Callithrix jacchus: one gene and its partner. The protein of the gene in region 1 interacts with the protein of each later gene in a pairwise test. Links are inferred from orthologs where the notes say so. Each region holds a gene or a part of one and is shown on either strand. Other genes may lie near its edges.

What was found. The genes of interacting proteins can lie anywhere in the genome.
Region 2: the proteins of KLHL12 (region 1) and INMT interact in binary tests that used the Homo sapiens proteins (3 or more experiments, as listed by UniProt). The two-hybrid records come from large-scale screens. The link is inferred for Callithrix jacchus from reciprocal best matches to the Homo sapiens genes KLHL12 and INMT.

What each region holds. Positions count from the first base shown.
Region 1 is NC_133520.1:29,930,663-29,938,085, reverse strand, and holds the end of KLHL12 (kelch-like protein 12), read left to right. Parts: intron 1-837; coding exon 838-944; intron 945-2,075; coding exon 2,076-2,271; exon of another isoform or gene 2,272-2,342; intron 2,343-3,041; coding exon 3,042-3,200; intron 3,201-3,486; exon of another isoform or gene 3,487-3,517; coding exon 3,518-3,616; exon of another isoform or gene 3,617-3,628; intron 3,629-3,928; exon of another isoform or gene 3,929-4,111; intron 4,112-4,358; coding exon 4,359-4,545; intron 4,546-5,101; coding exon 5,102-5,228; 3' UTR 5,229-6,664; downstream 6,665-7,423. UniProt on the Homo sapiens protein: Substrate-specific adapter of a BCR (BTB-CUL3-RBX1) E3 ubiquitin ligase complex that acts as a negative regulator of Wnt signaling pathway and ER-Golgi transport.
Region 2 is NC_133512.1:27,504,789-27,513,170, reverse strand, and holds INMT (indolethylamine N-methyltransferase), read left to right. Parts: upstream 1-3,106; 5' UTR 3,107-3,122; coding exon 3,123-3,276; intron 3,277-4,745; coding exon 4,746-4,953; intron 4,954-6,289; coding exon 6,290-6,713; 3' UTR 6,714-7,949; downstream 7,950-8,382. UniProt on the Homo sapiens protein: Functions as a thioether S-methyltransferase and is active with a variety of thioethers and the corresponding selenium and tellurium compounds, including 3-methylthiopropionaldehyde, dimethyl selenide, dimethyl telluride, 2-methylthioethylamine, 2-methylthioethanol, methyl-n-propyl sulfide and diethyl sulfide.

The DNA of each region.
Region 1 (7,423 bases):
TTTGTCAAAGTAAGGCCTTAGAGGGAAGGATAGGATATAAAGGCTGTCAGAATAGCTTCTTTGGGAAAATAGAGAAAAAGACTTTTCCTTTAAATCTCTAGTCATTTGTTGCCTGGTAGTTTTGATGAATAGGCAGGCAATGTGATCATATAGTTGACTAAATTGGAGAAGTAAATGTTCATGGAAAAGAGATTTTAGGCCAGGCACAGTGGCTCATTCCTGTAATCCCAACACTTTGGGAAACTGAGGTAGAAGAATCACTTGAGGCTAGGAATTTGAGATTAGCTTGAACATAGCAAGACTCTTTCTCAATTGAGAAAAAGAAAAAGAGATTTTAAGTCCATCACTTGGATCCTAAATTTCAACATGCAATTTTTTTTGTGACAAGGTTAGGAGAGTTCTTACTACATTACAACAACAAAAAACCTAATATTCTGCAGCAAGAGAAAATTAAAAAAAAAAAAAACCCTCCCAATTTGAGTTTGTCAGGCTGAGAAGTGCAGAGAGTGCCTTTAGCCTCTCACCTGCACTTAAGACCTCAAATATTATGTCAGTCAGTCATCTAACTGGGTTGAAATGGTACAGTGTCATGTTGAAGTTTGCCTTCTAGAGTTTTAATGTTGTACAGAAATTTAAGTTTCAGAGACTCAAGAGCTACAGCCTCAAGGAGAAATAACTCCCCATTCAACAGCCTCTTGATTATCTCCTATTTCAGATTGTATCCCTCAGCTACATAAAACAAGACATCCTAGAACTCTTTCTGTTTACACTTCCCTGTGACTAGTTATCTATCCAGGGATGCTGAACTAACCTATCTTTTCACTACCTTGTCTTCAGGAGCCAATGAAGTGCTTTTGGTGGTTGGGGGTTTCGGAAGCCAGCAGTCTCCTATCGACGTGGTAGAGAAATATGACCCCAAGACTCAGGAGTGGAGCTTTTTGCCGGTAAATAATGGTGAAACCATTTGTTGGGAGGGAGCTTAAATTCCTCAGTCTCTGGCTCCAGAGCATAGCTAATCCAACTGTAAGAGTAGAAAAGCCTAATAACAGGTTGTTTCTTACAGCAGTCTTGTGCACATAGTAGGTACTCAGTAAACAGTTTTTTTACTGTTTAGATTAGAAGATTATACCTTAGAAATGTTAGTGGCCCTGTGTCAGGTTAAATCAGATGGCCACCACTAGTTAGGTGCTTTTCTAAGCTGTCTTTATAATTCCCAGCACATTTCATTGGTCATGTTTTGTTAAAGTAAACCCAATGTTAAATTGTGTTGAATTGAACCCAGTGTTCAATTGAGCTCAGAAGTTTGGACAGAGCGTGGTAGCTCACACCTATAATCCCAGCACTTTGGGAGGCTGAGATGGGACGATCTCTTGAGGCCAGGAGTTCAAGACCAGCCTGGGCAGTATGGTGGAACTCTGTTTCTGCAAAAAAGTAAACAAAAAAATTAGCCAGGTGGTGCATGCCTGTAGTCCTAGCTGCTTGGGAGGTTGTGATAGAAGATTGCTTGAGCCCAGCAGTCAAGGTTGCAGTGAGCTGTGACTGTGCCACGCACTCCAACCTGGGTGACAGAGTGAGATCCCAACTCAGAAAAAAAAAGTTTGTATCTGTCTCCCTCAGCATGTCTCTCAGTGCTGAATGAACAATAGTAATTTCTGAGAAAACATGGAAATCCAATCCTCCTACCTTTTAAGGTTTTTATAATAAATCCTGGCCCTTTGATTAGCAATGTGGGAACACTTTTCCACTGTATGGAAGAATATCAGTCTCTTAGCCCAGTGCCTTATGGAAAAGAAAGGAGTCAGATACTGGATAACAGAAAGCTGTTAAATCTTTTGGAAACCTTGGAAAGAGGCAGATGTGCAGAAAGCTTACATCTTTAAGAGACCCACAACAAGCATTTCCTTCAGTAGGCAGCCATGGGTGGAGCCACTTGAGGATGAACCACTCAAGGAGGGTTCATGATGACAGGTGAAGCAGCACAGAGGTGTGTAGATACAACAGGGAAGATAGCAAAAGGAAAGGCCCGAAACTTACCTAACTGAAATGCTCTGTACCTCTTCTCTCCAAATCCATAGAGCATCACTCGTAAGAGACGTTATGTGGCCTCAGTGTCCCTACATGACCGGATCTACGTCATTGGTGGCTATGATGGCCGTTCCCGCCTTAGTTCAGTGGAATGTCTAGACTACACAGCAGATGAGGATGGGGTCTGGTATTCTGTGGCCCCTATGAATGTCCGACGAGGTCTTGCTGGAGCCACCACCCTGGGAGGTAGGCTTGATAAGCAGGGCAATATTTCCATCTTACTGTGGCTGGACCAGGTTTTTAACCTCTCATGTTTTCTGGCAGGAGCATGAAATATGGAGAAAAAAAATGAGGTCAAATATTATTATTATTTGAGACAGGGTCTCTCTCTGTTGCCCAGGCTGGAGTGCAGTGGCGTGACCACGGCTCACTACAGCCTCAACCTCCCCAAGCTCAAGCGATCCTCCCACCTCAGCTTCCCGAATAGCTGGAACTACAGGTGTGCACCATCATGCCCAGCTATTTTTATGTATTTTTAGTAGAGACAGGGTTTCGCCTTGTTGCCCAGGCTAATCTCTAACCCCTGAGCTCAAGTGACTCACCCGCCTTGGCCTCCCAAGGTGCTGAGATTACAGGTGTGAGCCGCTGCGCCCAGCCGACAAATACTCTTTTTGCTTTCAGACATATCAGTGTAATAGAAGCTGTTCAACCTTCATGGATGTTTCAGTACTGACTATAAAGTTCGCAAATCAAGTTCTAATGTGCTGGGTGGGGAACTGGCACTGGTTGTATTTTTTGAAAATTCCCAAGTGGTTTTTGAATGCTTCTGAGGATTTTAATTTACCCCATTCTTTTTAGATGTCTTTCTTGTCTGTAAAACTTAATTGACTTATCTCATTAAAAAATACTTTGTTTTTGCTTTCAGACTTTTAAAAGACACTTGAAAATTTTGTAGAGGAAAGAGTTCTAGAAATCTCTCATTCTCTAATAGTCTGTAATTTGTTTATTCTGAGCAGATATGATCTACGTCTCTGGAGGCTTTGATGGAAGCAGGCGTCACACCAGTATGGAGCGCTATGATCCAAATATTGACCAGTGGAGTATGCTGGGAGATATGCAGACAGCCCGGGAAGGTGCCGGGCTCGTAGTGGCCAGCGGAGTGATCTACTGTCTAGGTATCCTGAGTCTGCGATGCAGGAATGGGAGAGAACTCAATGGGTAGTAGATTGTGGGTAAGGGTTCCTTTTTAGCAGAATGAAGTTCATAGACTTCCCTTCAACTAAAACCCTGTTGTGTCAATGTATTTTCCATTAATTGGGATTATCATTTTCTTATAAGCAGAAAGTAGGATACTATCAGATTTCTGTTAGAGTTATTGGGACTCTAGTGGGAAGTTAAAACTAAAATAATTAGTTGAAGCACTCGGAAAAAGGCTGACCAGGAATAGGCATGAGGATTTACCACTCATCCTGCAGTGGTCTCTGTCTTCCAGGAGGATATGATGGCTTGAATATCTTAAATTCAGTTGAGAAATACGACCCTCATACAGGACATTGGACTACTGTTACACCAATGGCCACCAAGCGTTCCGGTAAGATCAGATCTGAGGGAGGAGACAATAGGCAGTGCTGTCAGACCTTTACATATATAGTAGTGATGCATGGGACAAACTGTAGATGAATGTAAAAATGAGATTCTGCTCCTCGTCTCTGCTTTCTCTAAATATTAGGATAAAGACAGTTTATATTTAAAACTAGATTATAAATTTGAAAGCAAAAGCCTTCATGTCTTTGTTCTCTCCCTACGTTTTAGAATGCTACAATTTTGTCTGTGTAGCACATGTTAAATAAATGTTTGTTAAATAACGTCTCTAATGTATAAGAACAAAAGAGTAGCACCTTACCTTCACGAGAGCTTTTTGAAGTGGAGTAGGCTGAGATGTAGAAAAGGAGAAAACACTGTGCTGTTCTAGTTTACATATTCTGAGTAAAAATCGCTTCAGAACCATAATCACAGTTCCTTTCCCTCCATCTACCTTTATTGCTGCCTTTCTTTCACTTCCTCCTTTTCTGAGAAGGGTGGGGCTCTGAGTTAATGAGAGTAAAGAAGAAAAGATAAATTTCTATTTATCTTTTATCATTTCAAATCCAAGCCAAAGGGTTTATAGATGGAATAACTTGTGCTGGACTAGATTATCCTAGCCTTGTCTAGGTCCAGTCCATATCTCTTATCTACTCTAGAACTCAGCTAGCCATTAGTGACCATAGTTTATTTCTATAACTCAGATTCTAGGCTTAGTACCATTCATTTGCTAATGCCTTCATTTTCCCCAGGTGCAGGAGTAGCACTGCTGAATGACCATATTTATGTGGTGGGGGGATTTGATGGTACAGCCCACCTTTCTTCCGTTGAAGCATACAACATTCGCACTGATTCCTGGACAACTGTCACCAGTATGACCACTCCACGATGCTATGTAGGGGCCACAGTGCTTCGGGGGAGACTTTATGCAATTGCAGGGTGAGGATTTAAACAACTCCAGACTCAGTATGTAACCAGAGCAACAGTCTGTGTGATCTGATCCTTATTTTTGGATGGAGACAACATTTGGGTAGGGGTAGACATCTCCAGTAGCAACTTGATTTTTTTAAATTAGATTTTTTTTTTTTTTTTAGAGACAGAGTCTTTCTCTGTCACCCAGGCTGGAGTCTGAGTAGAGTAGCTGGGACCACGGGTGCATGCCACTGTACCAGGCTAGTTTTTTATGTTGTCTAGGCTGATTTCAAGCAATCCTCCCACCTCAGCCTCCCAAAGTGTTAGGATTACAGGCGTGAGTCACCATGCTGGCCTCCAGTGGCAGCCTTAAGGAAGAACTCGTGTGGAAAAGAATAGAAGGCTAATTTCTTTCTTTAAATTTAATTGAGACAGGGTCTTACCATTTTGCCCAGGCTGGTCTCAAATTCCCTCCTAGGCTTAAGCAGTCCTCTTACCTCAGCCTCCCTCATAGTTGGGATTAAAGGCATGTGCCACTGCACATAGCTGATTCATTTTTTTCTTTTGCTGCTTTCTCACTCAGATATGATGGTAATTCCCTGCTAAGTAGTATTGAATGTTATGACCCTATCATCGACAGCTGGGAAGTCGTGACATCCATGGGAACCCAGCGCTGTGATGCTGGTGTGTGTGTTCTCCGTGAGAAGTGACCATTGTTGGAGCACCATCCAGAACTAGTGACCAGTCTGGTGGACAGTTAGTGGGAGAATCAAGAATCCTTTCCAGAATGTCTGTTTCTCACTATGAACAGGGTGATTACAGGCACCAGTGCAGTGATGATTGTACTTATTTGACATATATTCCGCCTTGTCCTGGTTATTGTTCCTGAGAAGGGTGGCCAGCAGATACTCCAGGGAAAAGAATGCAGATTGAATGGATGTGAGAGACCAGATCGCCTCTCCCACTGCCTTGGGGAGCACTTTCCTTTCGTTTCTAACTTACCACATGCTCAGTGTACTATATGTATGTTGTGCCTCATATGTTGCAGAGAACGAAGGTGAGTATAGCCTACTAGATGTGGGCAATATCCAGCCTAGATGATTGGAAAGGTACCAGTTTAAGTAAACTTGGTAAAATCCAAGTCTTTTTTTTTTTTTTTCCAAGAAAAGATACCTTTTCTAATCTACAGGTAGCTGGAGGCAACACAGTTCCATTCTAGAAGGAAACAGAAGGGAGAGCCCCATAAAACTTTGGGGGCAAGGGAGAGAGACTCATCGGACACTTCTTGTGGGGGATATGGTTGGTATATCAGAATTTAAGTTAGAATAAGTGAATCAACTGAATTTGATGGATTGTGAGTGAACCTAGAACAGCACTGAAGTATTACATAATCTGGAAGACTGAGAAGGGTATATCATTTGAAGGATCTTTTTATTTCCCCAAGGTCTTTCTGAAGTAGAATGTTACACATTTTAGCACTGGAGGCAGCATAACAGTGAACAAATGTTGGGATGAGAGAAGATGGCATCAATGTGCAAGTTCAGTATAACTGGGGATAAACTAGAAGTACCTGTGATTCTACGGTCTTATTCCCTGCCAGGGCTCATCTAGCCATGGCAATGTTTGCCTTGAATGGGGGTGAAAGCCTTTCTTTGTTGAATCAAATACTACTACACTGTTACACTTCCACACTATTTATTTGGGGATGGGCTGGGAGTGACAGTAGCCCAGTAGTTTAGCTACCTGATTACTGCCCATTCTTTTAGGAGTACACTTCTGCCAAGGAGTGGTTTGTACTGCTGTGTTTGGTACATTTAGTCTTTTTTCTGCTATAAGTTTCCCTTGTCTGTCCTTTAGTGTAGATTTTATTCATCACAGGACAGAATAATCAAGGACAACCAAAATCCTTTTGTCAGTTTCAGTACCTCAGCTATCAACATTTCTGAGCTATTATTTAATGTTGCTCTATGTCATGGAATGAAATTCTTGTTTTATGGATATTGAAATTTTATGGGAGTGTGGGAATGTGATAAACAACCTTTGCTCTGAAATTCCATTTTTCCCTTTTTCCCTGAATCGTATTGACCTACAGAGTTAATTTCCTTTGTATTTTTTTAAGAAAATATTAAAAATTAACAGTCTCAAATGCTGAGAGTTTGTGGTTAACCAGCATTGCCTTTAGCAGATACTTAGGGTTCAGCTGTGACCCCTGTGTCGTCAGCCTGTTCATCTTGTGTGTTTGCCAACTAGTTCTGCTATTTCTCTGTTAGACACAGGTAAGAGGCAGCCACTTTACACTATGGAGATTCTCATCAGTAAAATATTTACCTGATTTGCCGTATTCATTAGCCCCTCTCATGCTTGGAGTTACTTGAAAACCAAAGGAGTAAAGAAGAGATGTCTTGAATTCACTTAGCATCCACTTCAATTTTAGGGTTTCAGTCATGCCAGGCCTTTTTTCCATTTGCTTTGAATGATGGCATGTGATATTAACAGCTATGCAGAAGGCCTGCAAAACTGCAACAATCCTGATGCTTCCAGAACAGAAGGAAGGAGAAGCCACAGGAGGAAGTTATTTTCCCTAAAGATGCCTGCCAACTTTGGCAGATGGATTGCGCCTGCTAATTAAACCACAGCCTATAAAACATGTGGCTCTTCCTATCTCAAAAAGAGATCCAGGAGAGGCTGAAGGACTGATGGCTCTTATGCTGTCTTTGGTGCTGACAAATTAGTTTCAGACCAATGTCACAAATAGTTCATACACTGCAGCCACTGAATCTTCTACAGAAAAATCAACACATAAAACTGAATAGCTCCTTTTTCACTCTTTTCACAATCATACACACTTTCATGTGCTCACATACATCCACAGAGATACCCCTAATTTGGTGGGTTATCTTAAATT
Region 2 (8,382 bases), on another chromosome or scaffold:
CTTCACTCTGAGCAGATTGCCCTAGTGCTGTTAGGACGCTTGGCCAGGCCAGAGTCAGGAGGCACGTAGGGATGGAGAAGGCCTGAGTGGTGGAGAAGCAGGTGGAAGCCAGAGGGTAGAGGCTCTGAATGCCAAGGGGGAGTTTGGATTCATTCCTCTGGGGAGCAGGAGGCACTGGAGGCCTTGCATTAGGAAAGGCATCCTCTGTCCATCCAAGGACATCCAATTGCAGCAGGATGTGTAGTTCTGGGAAGGATGGTCTCTCCCAACCCTGTACAGACCCCTAGCTGCCCACGTCCTGCTGCAGGGGCTCTGTAATCCTGGATAGTACATGCATGTCTATGGTTCAGCCCCTTCAGTGTTAATGCTGGGCTTCTTCCATGTGCTTCCATTATCTGCTCTATATCCTCTCCAGGCTACTTCAAGTGCCAGGAGGCTAACATGTGGACTATAGTCACCACTCCCTTCCTTGTAAATTTGGCAGGTTATTGGAGGGAGGTAAGAGAAGGAGGTTTGGGTGATTATTCTTCAGCTACTGTATTAGTTGTTTTTCATACTGCTAATAAAGACATACCCAAGACTGGGTACTTTATGCAGGAAGAAGGTTTAATGGACTCACTGTTCCACATGGCTGGGGAGGCCTCACAATCATGACTGAAGGCAAGGAGGAGCAAGTCACGTCTTACATGGATGGCAACAGGTGAAAAGAGAGCTTGTGCAGGGAAACTCCCCCTTAGAAAACCATCAGATAGCACAAGACTTATTCACTCTCATGAGAACAGCATGGGAAAGACCTGCCCCCACGGTTCAATTATTCCTACCTGGCCCCTCCCACAACCCATGGGAACTGTGGGAGGTACAATTCAAGATGAGATTTGGGTGGGGATACAACCAAACCATATCAGCCCCTTTGCTGTTGGCTGCTGCAGGAGGCCCTCTCTACACAGCTCTGTCTCTCTCTCAGTCTTGCTGGGATGATGGCTCCTCCATGCTGTGAGCCCTCAGGTTCTGTGATGGTGCCTTCTGTGACTCAACGTGGCTAGGCCTTGGTGCCTAGACAGGTGGTCAGTCATGATCCTGGCTGTTTGTTTGAGGGTGCTTTTGGATGAGATTCACATTTAAATCAGTGGACTTTGAGTAAAGCAGACTGCCCTCCATAATATGGGTGGGCCTCATCCAATCAGCTGATGGCTCAATTAGAACAAGACTGGCCTTCCCTGAGCAAGAGGGAATTCTGGCAGCAGCTGGTCTTTGGACTTGAACTGCAACATTGGCTTTCAGATTTTGGACTTACTGGCCTCCAAGATTACACGAGCCAATTCCTGAAAATAGATTTGATTTCTCTCAGTGTAAGTGTACACATCCTGGGCTCTGTTTCTCTGGAGAACCCTGACTAATAGAGGTATCATGTGGCTTCCTTCCACCCTGTCCACACCTTAGTTAGTACTGTGCCTTTACTGCATACTCCTCCAATTATGTAACGCGAGCACTGCAGTTTCCTGCCTGCTCTGAGTGCCTTCTGCAGGCCAGCATGTTGGCCGCAGGCCTCCCTGGAGGCTGCCCAGGCGCCTGCTCCTTGGAAGCCAGACCCCAGATGACTGCTGGATGTTCCTGCCTCTGTGGCATCCTCTGTCTTTTGGGCCCTGTGGATTCAGAATTATTTGTTTACTTAAAGCCAGAACAAGGCATTCCTGTCCTTCCCACTTTCAGGGCAAGAGGCCTGAACCTCCACTGTAGCAGATTCATTTCTATCTGGTTTGTGGCCAAGTCAGAGCCATTTCCTAGTGCAAAAAACAGAGACTGAGCTTTTCTCTGTCTGTGGGAGATTTTACAACCCAGCCCCATTTCTAAGAGAAGGAGACTGAAGCCAGCAGTATCTTACCTGAACTTACCAGGTGAGTCAGCAGCCAAGAAGTCAGGATCCCCCTGATAGTTTATGCTTTATGACCGGGCGCCCTTGTTCTCATTCATGGAGATGGATGATAATTTCTGCTCTTCTCCCAGTGGCCTGCACAGTGATGCCAAGTCAGCTATTCTGCTCTGCCTCCTGGGGTCTGAACTCTGTTCTCCAGGAGGGATGGGGGATGTATGAAGCTGTACCTACTGCCTGGCCTAGAGAGAGCCACTGGTCCACTGACCACCGGGGGACAAGCTGGGGATCTCACTGTGCCTGCCTGGCCTAGAGAGAGCCACTGGTCCACTGACCACCAGGGGACAAGCTGGGGATCTCACTGTGCCTGCCTGGCCTAGAGAGAGCCACTGGGCCACTGACCACCAGGGGACAAGCTGGGGATCTCACTGTGCCTGCCTGGCCTAGAGAGAGCCACTGGGCCACTGACCACCAGGGGACAAGCTGGGGATCTCACTGTGCCTGCCTGGCCTAGAGAGAGCCACTGGGCCACTGACCACCAGGGGATAAGCTGGGGATCTCACTGTGCCTGCCTGGCCTAGAGAGAGCCACTGGGCCACTGACCACCAGGGGACAAGCTGGGGATCTCACTGTGCCTGCCTGGCCTAGAGAGAGCCACTGGGCCACTGACCACCAGGGCATAAGCTGGGGATCTCACTGTGCCTGCCTGGCCTAGAGAGAGCCACTGGGCCACTGACCACCAGGGGACAAGCTGGGGATCTCACTGTGCCTGCCTGGCCTAGAGAGAGCCACTGGGCCACTGACCACCAGGGGACAAGCTGGGGATCTCACTATGTACTCAGGTCACAATACCTGTGACTGGGGGAGTGGCTTTGGTTCTCACAGTCAGTGAAGTGGGCACATAGGTGGGGAAACGTGGGTCTGACACCTGCTGGAGGCCACACAGCAGCATGTGGCTGGCAGGACTGAGAGTTGCACCCAGGGCTGGGCACCATCAATTGCCTTTGATGGACATGGGTTGGTCCCTAGAGAAAGCAGGGCCAGGGCGGCTGCAGCCCCAGCTCAGGTGTGTCAGTGTGGCTGGGAGGTGGTGAGGGATGCACTCCCTTCTGTATCCTCCTAGAAGGAGAAGCTTGAGAGACATACATGGGAGGAGTGATGGGATGAGGCTGGAATGTTGGAGGTGGAGCCTGGAGAGCTTGGAGCCCTCATAAGACCGGACAGGCAGGAGGGGGCATATTTCAGGGCCACCATGGAGGGCGGCTTCACGGGAGGTGATGAGTATCAGAAGCACTTCCTGCCCAGGGACTACTTGGCCACTTACTATAGCGTCGATGGCAGCCACTTGCCTGAGATCGAGATGCTGAAGTTTTACTTGGAGTGTCTCCACAAGACCTTCGGCCCTGGTGAGCAGAGGGTGGCTTTTCCCCTTGAGCCTCTCTCCAAGAAACCTGGATGCGGATGGGGACAAGGGGTCCTGGGGGCAGTCTGGTCTCCTCTAGAGGTTGCTGGGGGTGGGCTGGGGGAGCTGCTGGGGACCTGTCCCTCTCTTTGGGTAGCTGCTATGCTGGAGGTTGGGTCTGTTTCCCCATGGCTCAGGAGCTGTGTGCCAGCTGAGGGATCAGGATCCATGGGAAGAGCACAGCCCATGCAGTTCCCACACTGTTCTCCATTAGCCCCTAGGTCTTTGGGGTGGAGCAGAAAAGGGTTTCCAGGTCATCATCAAGTTCAGCCCTGCCCTTACATAGCCAGCCCTCTGGGGCCCCCAGAAGGCCAGGGGCAAACAGCAGGACTGTAGTGGGTTAGGTCAGGATTGCCTATTCCTATAGTGTGCAGCCCAGATGTGGCTGTGATGAGGACCTGGAAAAGCCCTGCCCTGGGACAAGGATTGTTACATGGGGTCTCAACCCTATTACAAACCTGACTGCAAAGCCCTCAGGTCCCAAGGACCTAAACTGAGACATCTGTACAATGGATGGTGACTTCTACCTGTCTCCTGGTGATCTCTTCCCTCCCCACGGTGACCCCATGATTTGGTGTGTCTTCCAAGCTCAAGCAGCCATGTCCTCACTTCAGGCACTTGAATGGGTAACAGTAAGGGTGAGTCTCCTGGTGGTCTGTGGGATAAGGAGGGTTAAAATGTTGCTGAGCCTAGAGGAGCAGGCCAGTGTGGGAGGCAGAAATCAGAGAACAGCCAGACTGGGTGTGATCAAGCCTGGAAGGCCAAGTGATGGCCCCACGCCAGGGCTCCAGACAGAATGTTGGAAATCATGCTTCGTTCCAGCTTCCAGGTGACCCTGGATTTACTCCTGAGGCCATCTTCCCAGATCGTCTCCTTCTCAGCCTCCTGCTTCCTATTCCTGTGCTCTTACACCCCTCCCACCTCCAAGGAATGAGAAACCCATCCAGGCAGGGCTGGACTTCCCGGGGATGCTCCTAGCTCCCAGTCAGCCTGAAACTTAAAGGGCCACTGCCCCCAGCATGTCCTCTCTAATCTCTCCAGCCCGAATCTTCTCTAGAGCAGGGCTTGGGTCTCTTTTCTCTGTCCCAGAAAGATTATACTCTTGGCTTATATTCTTGGCTGAAAGATATTGGGCAAATTGTTTAACCCTTTTCAGACTCAGTTTTCTAATTTATAAAATGAAAATAGTGATAGTAGTTACTACACAGGGTAGTTCTGAGGTGTAAATGGAAATAAATGCATATAAAATGTTTAGCATGAGGCTTGGCCTACAGGAAGCCACCAATCTGTGATAATGACCATTCTTGGTGCTGCTTGCCCCTTGGGTAAGACCAGGGTGTGTGTCCTCATCCCTGTGTCTGTCTCGGGTCTCATTTCTCTTACCCATCCCTTACCAGTCTTTCCTTCCCACAGGAGGCCTCCAAGGGGACACGCTGATTGACATCGGCTCAGGTCCTACCATCTACCAAGTTCTCGCAGCCTGTGAGTCCTTCCAAGACATCACTCTCTCTGACTTTACCGACCGTAACCGGGAGGAGCTGGAAAAATGGCTGAAGAAGGAGCCGGGGGCCTATGACTGGACCCCAGTGGTGAAATTTGCCTGTGAGCTCGAAGGAAACAGGTAGGGGTGCAGAGGTTGGGGAGGGGTTCCCAGACCTTCTTTCTCAGAGGGCTGTCTGGCCTCTTGGTTGTCTCTGACATTTTCAGGACAGTAGGGCCTTCATGTATATGACCAGAGGTCTTGCTGTGGGGACAGAGTAGATGGGCCCCCAAGTTTCAGGATTACAGGAGTTTCAGGGGCAAGTCTCTGATCATAGGACTATGTTGAGGTATGATATAGCCAAGTATGAGCACTGAAGACCAGGTGATAGAACCCTTCCTTCCTTCTTCTCTTTCTTCCTTTCCCTAATCTATATACCTACCTATCTTGTATATATCTAACTATCCATCCATATCCATCCATCTATGCACCCACCCACCAATCCATCCATTCACCCAGCCAGCCAGGCAGCTATTCGCCCATCCATCCATTTGTCCATTCATCCATCCATCTCCATCCATCATCCATCCACCCACCCACCTATCCATATCTGTCAATCTACCTGCCCATCCATTCATCCATTCATCCATCCATCCATCCATTTATTCATATCCATCCATCCATCTATCCATCCATCTCCATCCATCCATATCCATCTATCCATCCACCCATTTATCCATCCATGTCCATGCAAATTAATCCATCCACCCACCCATCCATTCTTCCTTCTTCCCTCTATTGTCTGTACCTGTGTGACTATATGACATATAATGATGTGAACCCACCACCCAACCTGAGTACTCGGATATAATAAAGACTTACCTGTGCTTCTCTGTGACTCCTTGCCCCTGCCTTTTGCCATCTGAGGTAATCACTAATATGAATTTTATACTTATTCCCTTTTTCAAACAATTTTTTTCTTGCATACTTATGTATATCTAAATAGTCTATTATTTAGTTTTAGTCACCTTTGAGCTTTGTAGCAGAATAATTTGCCCTGTGTCATCTGGGATTTGCTTTTCATCACTCAACATTATATTTTTAAGATCGCTATATTCATGTATTTTCTGTAGAAATTCATTAATTCATCCATCCATCCAATAGTGTTTGTTAACTGACCCATCTGTGCTTGGGGTGGTTTTGACCCTTCTGGGGATTAAGGGAAGGGGGCTCACATGAAATCAGAGAGAGAAAATTTCCTTTAATTGTTCTGGTCCACTCTTGGTAACCAGTTTTCTTTGGAAGAAACTGAGGATCAGATCGAAGAAGAGCCTGCTGTCAGGTCACACAGGGACTCAGGGACAGCAGTCCTTTTGGGATTCAGAGATCATCTCCATCTGCTAGTCGCAGTGGACTAGTCAAGGTTCCCTTTGGAACCTTGAAGTGCCTCCCCGACTCCCTCCCTCTCTCTCTGCAGTGGCCGATGGCAGGAGAAAGAGGAGAAGCTGCGAGCAGTGGTGAAGCGGGTGCTCAAATGTGATGTCCACCTGGGCAACCCACTGGCCCCAGCTGTGTTGCCCCCTGCTGACTGCCTGCTCACCCTTCTGGCCATGGAGTGTGCCTGCTGCAGCCTTGATGCCTACCGTGCTGCACTTTGCAACCTTGCCTCACTGCTCAAGCCGGGCGGCCACTTGGTGACCATGGTCACGCTTCGGCTCTCGTCCTACATGGTGGGGAAGCGTGAATTCTCCTGCTTGGCCCTGGAGAAGGAGGAGGTGGAGCACGCTGTCCTGGATGCTGGCTTTGACATCGAGCAGCTCCTATATAGTCTCCGGAGCTACTCTGTCACCAGTGCTGCCAACACTGGAGTCTGCTTCATTGTGGCTTGCAAGAAGCCCTGAGCCAGGAGGGCCAGCCAGAGGTCTGGCCAGGCTGTGAGGCCTTGACCATCTGTATGCCAGAGAGGGGTGAGGAATGGATACTAACAGCCCCTGCTTTCAACACTAACAATCCATCTTCTGAAATTCTGAGATTCTAACATCCTTGTTTTAGAATTCTAAGTTTCTAACATTCCTCATTCTAGTATCCCAGGAGTGGAATTTTCCATTTTCTAATATACTAAGGCTTACAGCTACCTTAGATGTGATCTGACTCCTGTGTGACTGTGGAGCCCCCAGGGCTGTGGTTTCAGAGTCTGCCTAGTATGTTAAGGACAAGGAAACCTCTAGACAGTGGCATATTGGGGACTGTTTCATAACCAACTCCATAAAGGAAGAGCACTCAGGTATAGCAGTCACCGATTTCTGTGGTGTAAACGCTCCCACAATGGTTGGTTTCAAGCGACCAGTGGTTTAATGACCTGCTCATAAATCTCCTAAACATTTTACAGTTGACTCTCATGAGGTGATCTGAGTCAGCTGGAATACAACACTTCCTCTAGACTAAGGTCAGCAGATTTAGCAAATAAAAATACAGACTGCCCAGTTCATTGAATTTTAGATACATAAAATAAATTTTTAAGGCTAAGTATGTCCCCAGAATTGCATGGAACATGCTTATCCTACACAATGATTTGTGGTTCACCTGAAATTCAAATTTAGCTGGCTGTCCTGTATTTCATCTGTCAGCCCTACTTCAGTAAGGTACATGGATGAGCTTTGGTCAAGGAATAGGCGGAGATGGGTATCCAGGCCTGCATGACTCATTGGGTTTGGTGCACGGGTGCACACCTCTACTTGTTATATAACCTTTTTGTGTAAATTCATACTTGGCTCTGAGCCACTGTTGTCTGTAAAAGGTATACTTGTTGTGCTAACACTAGATAGGGGGGCTCTTGGAGCTCGGCTCGGCTCAACATGGCTTGACATGGCAGGTGCGCTGGTGCCCAGAGAGAGAGCCAAAGCTGTCCATCTTGCAAATGGACAGGAGGGAGCCAGGACACAGCTCAGCTTGCCTGTGCCCAGAGAGAGAAAGAGTTAAGCTGCTGACCCTGAAGGCAAGGGAGAGTCGGCTGCACAGCTGTGTGTGGGAGCCGCAGGCTCAAGCGGCTGAGACAGGGTAGACCGCGTGAGAGAGCTAGTGCGAGTAAGCTGCTGATGAGAGCGGTCACTGAATAAAACCATATTCACCTGCCTATAGCTCCCGAATGTTCTTTCTGCCCATCTACCCACTCCCCTCGGATTTCAGCATGGGCTGGACCTGGACCCCAGGACCTGACGCCAAGTGAGAAGAGGAGCAGCCCAGGGATCAAGGCTGTCCCTGGTACATGAGGTGCCTTTGTGCAAATTAGGAAGAGGTGCTCCTGCAGGTGGACACATTGCAGAAAGAAGTGTTCAGGGCTGATTAATTGATAAATGCTGTTCCATCTCCCCAAGGAAGGGCTATGAGAACAAGGTACCTCTTCTGGGGAGACTAATTAAAGAAAGGTGTCCCTTCCTTAAGGCTGATTGGGTCACACCCCTGAGCACCTGCCAGCCTCCCTTTCTCCCTCAACCCCAACCTATGCCTTTCTGTGGGTACACCCTGGGCACAGCAACCTTGATAGGAGCCAGGAGACCTGGAATCTAGTCT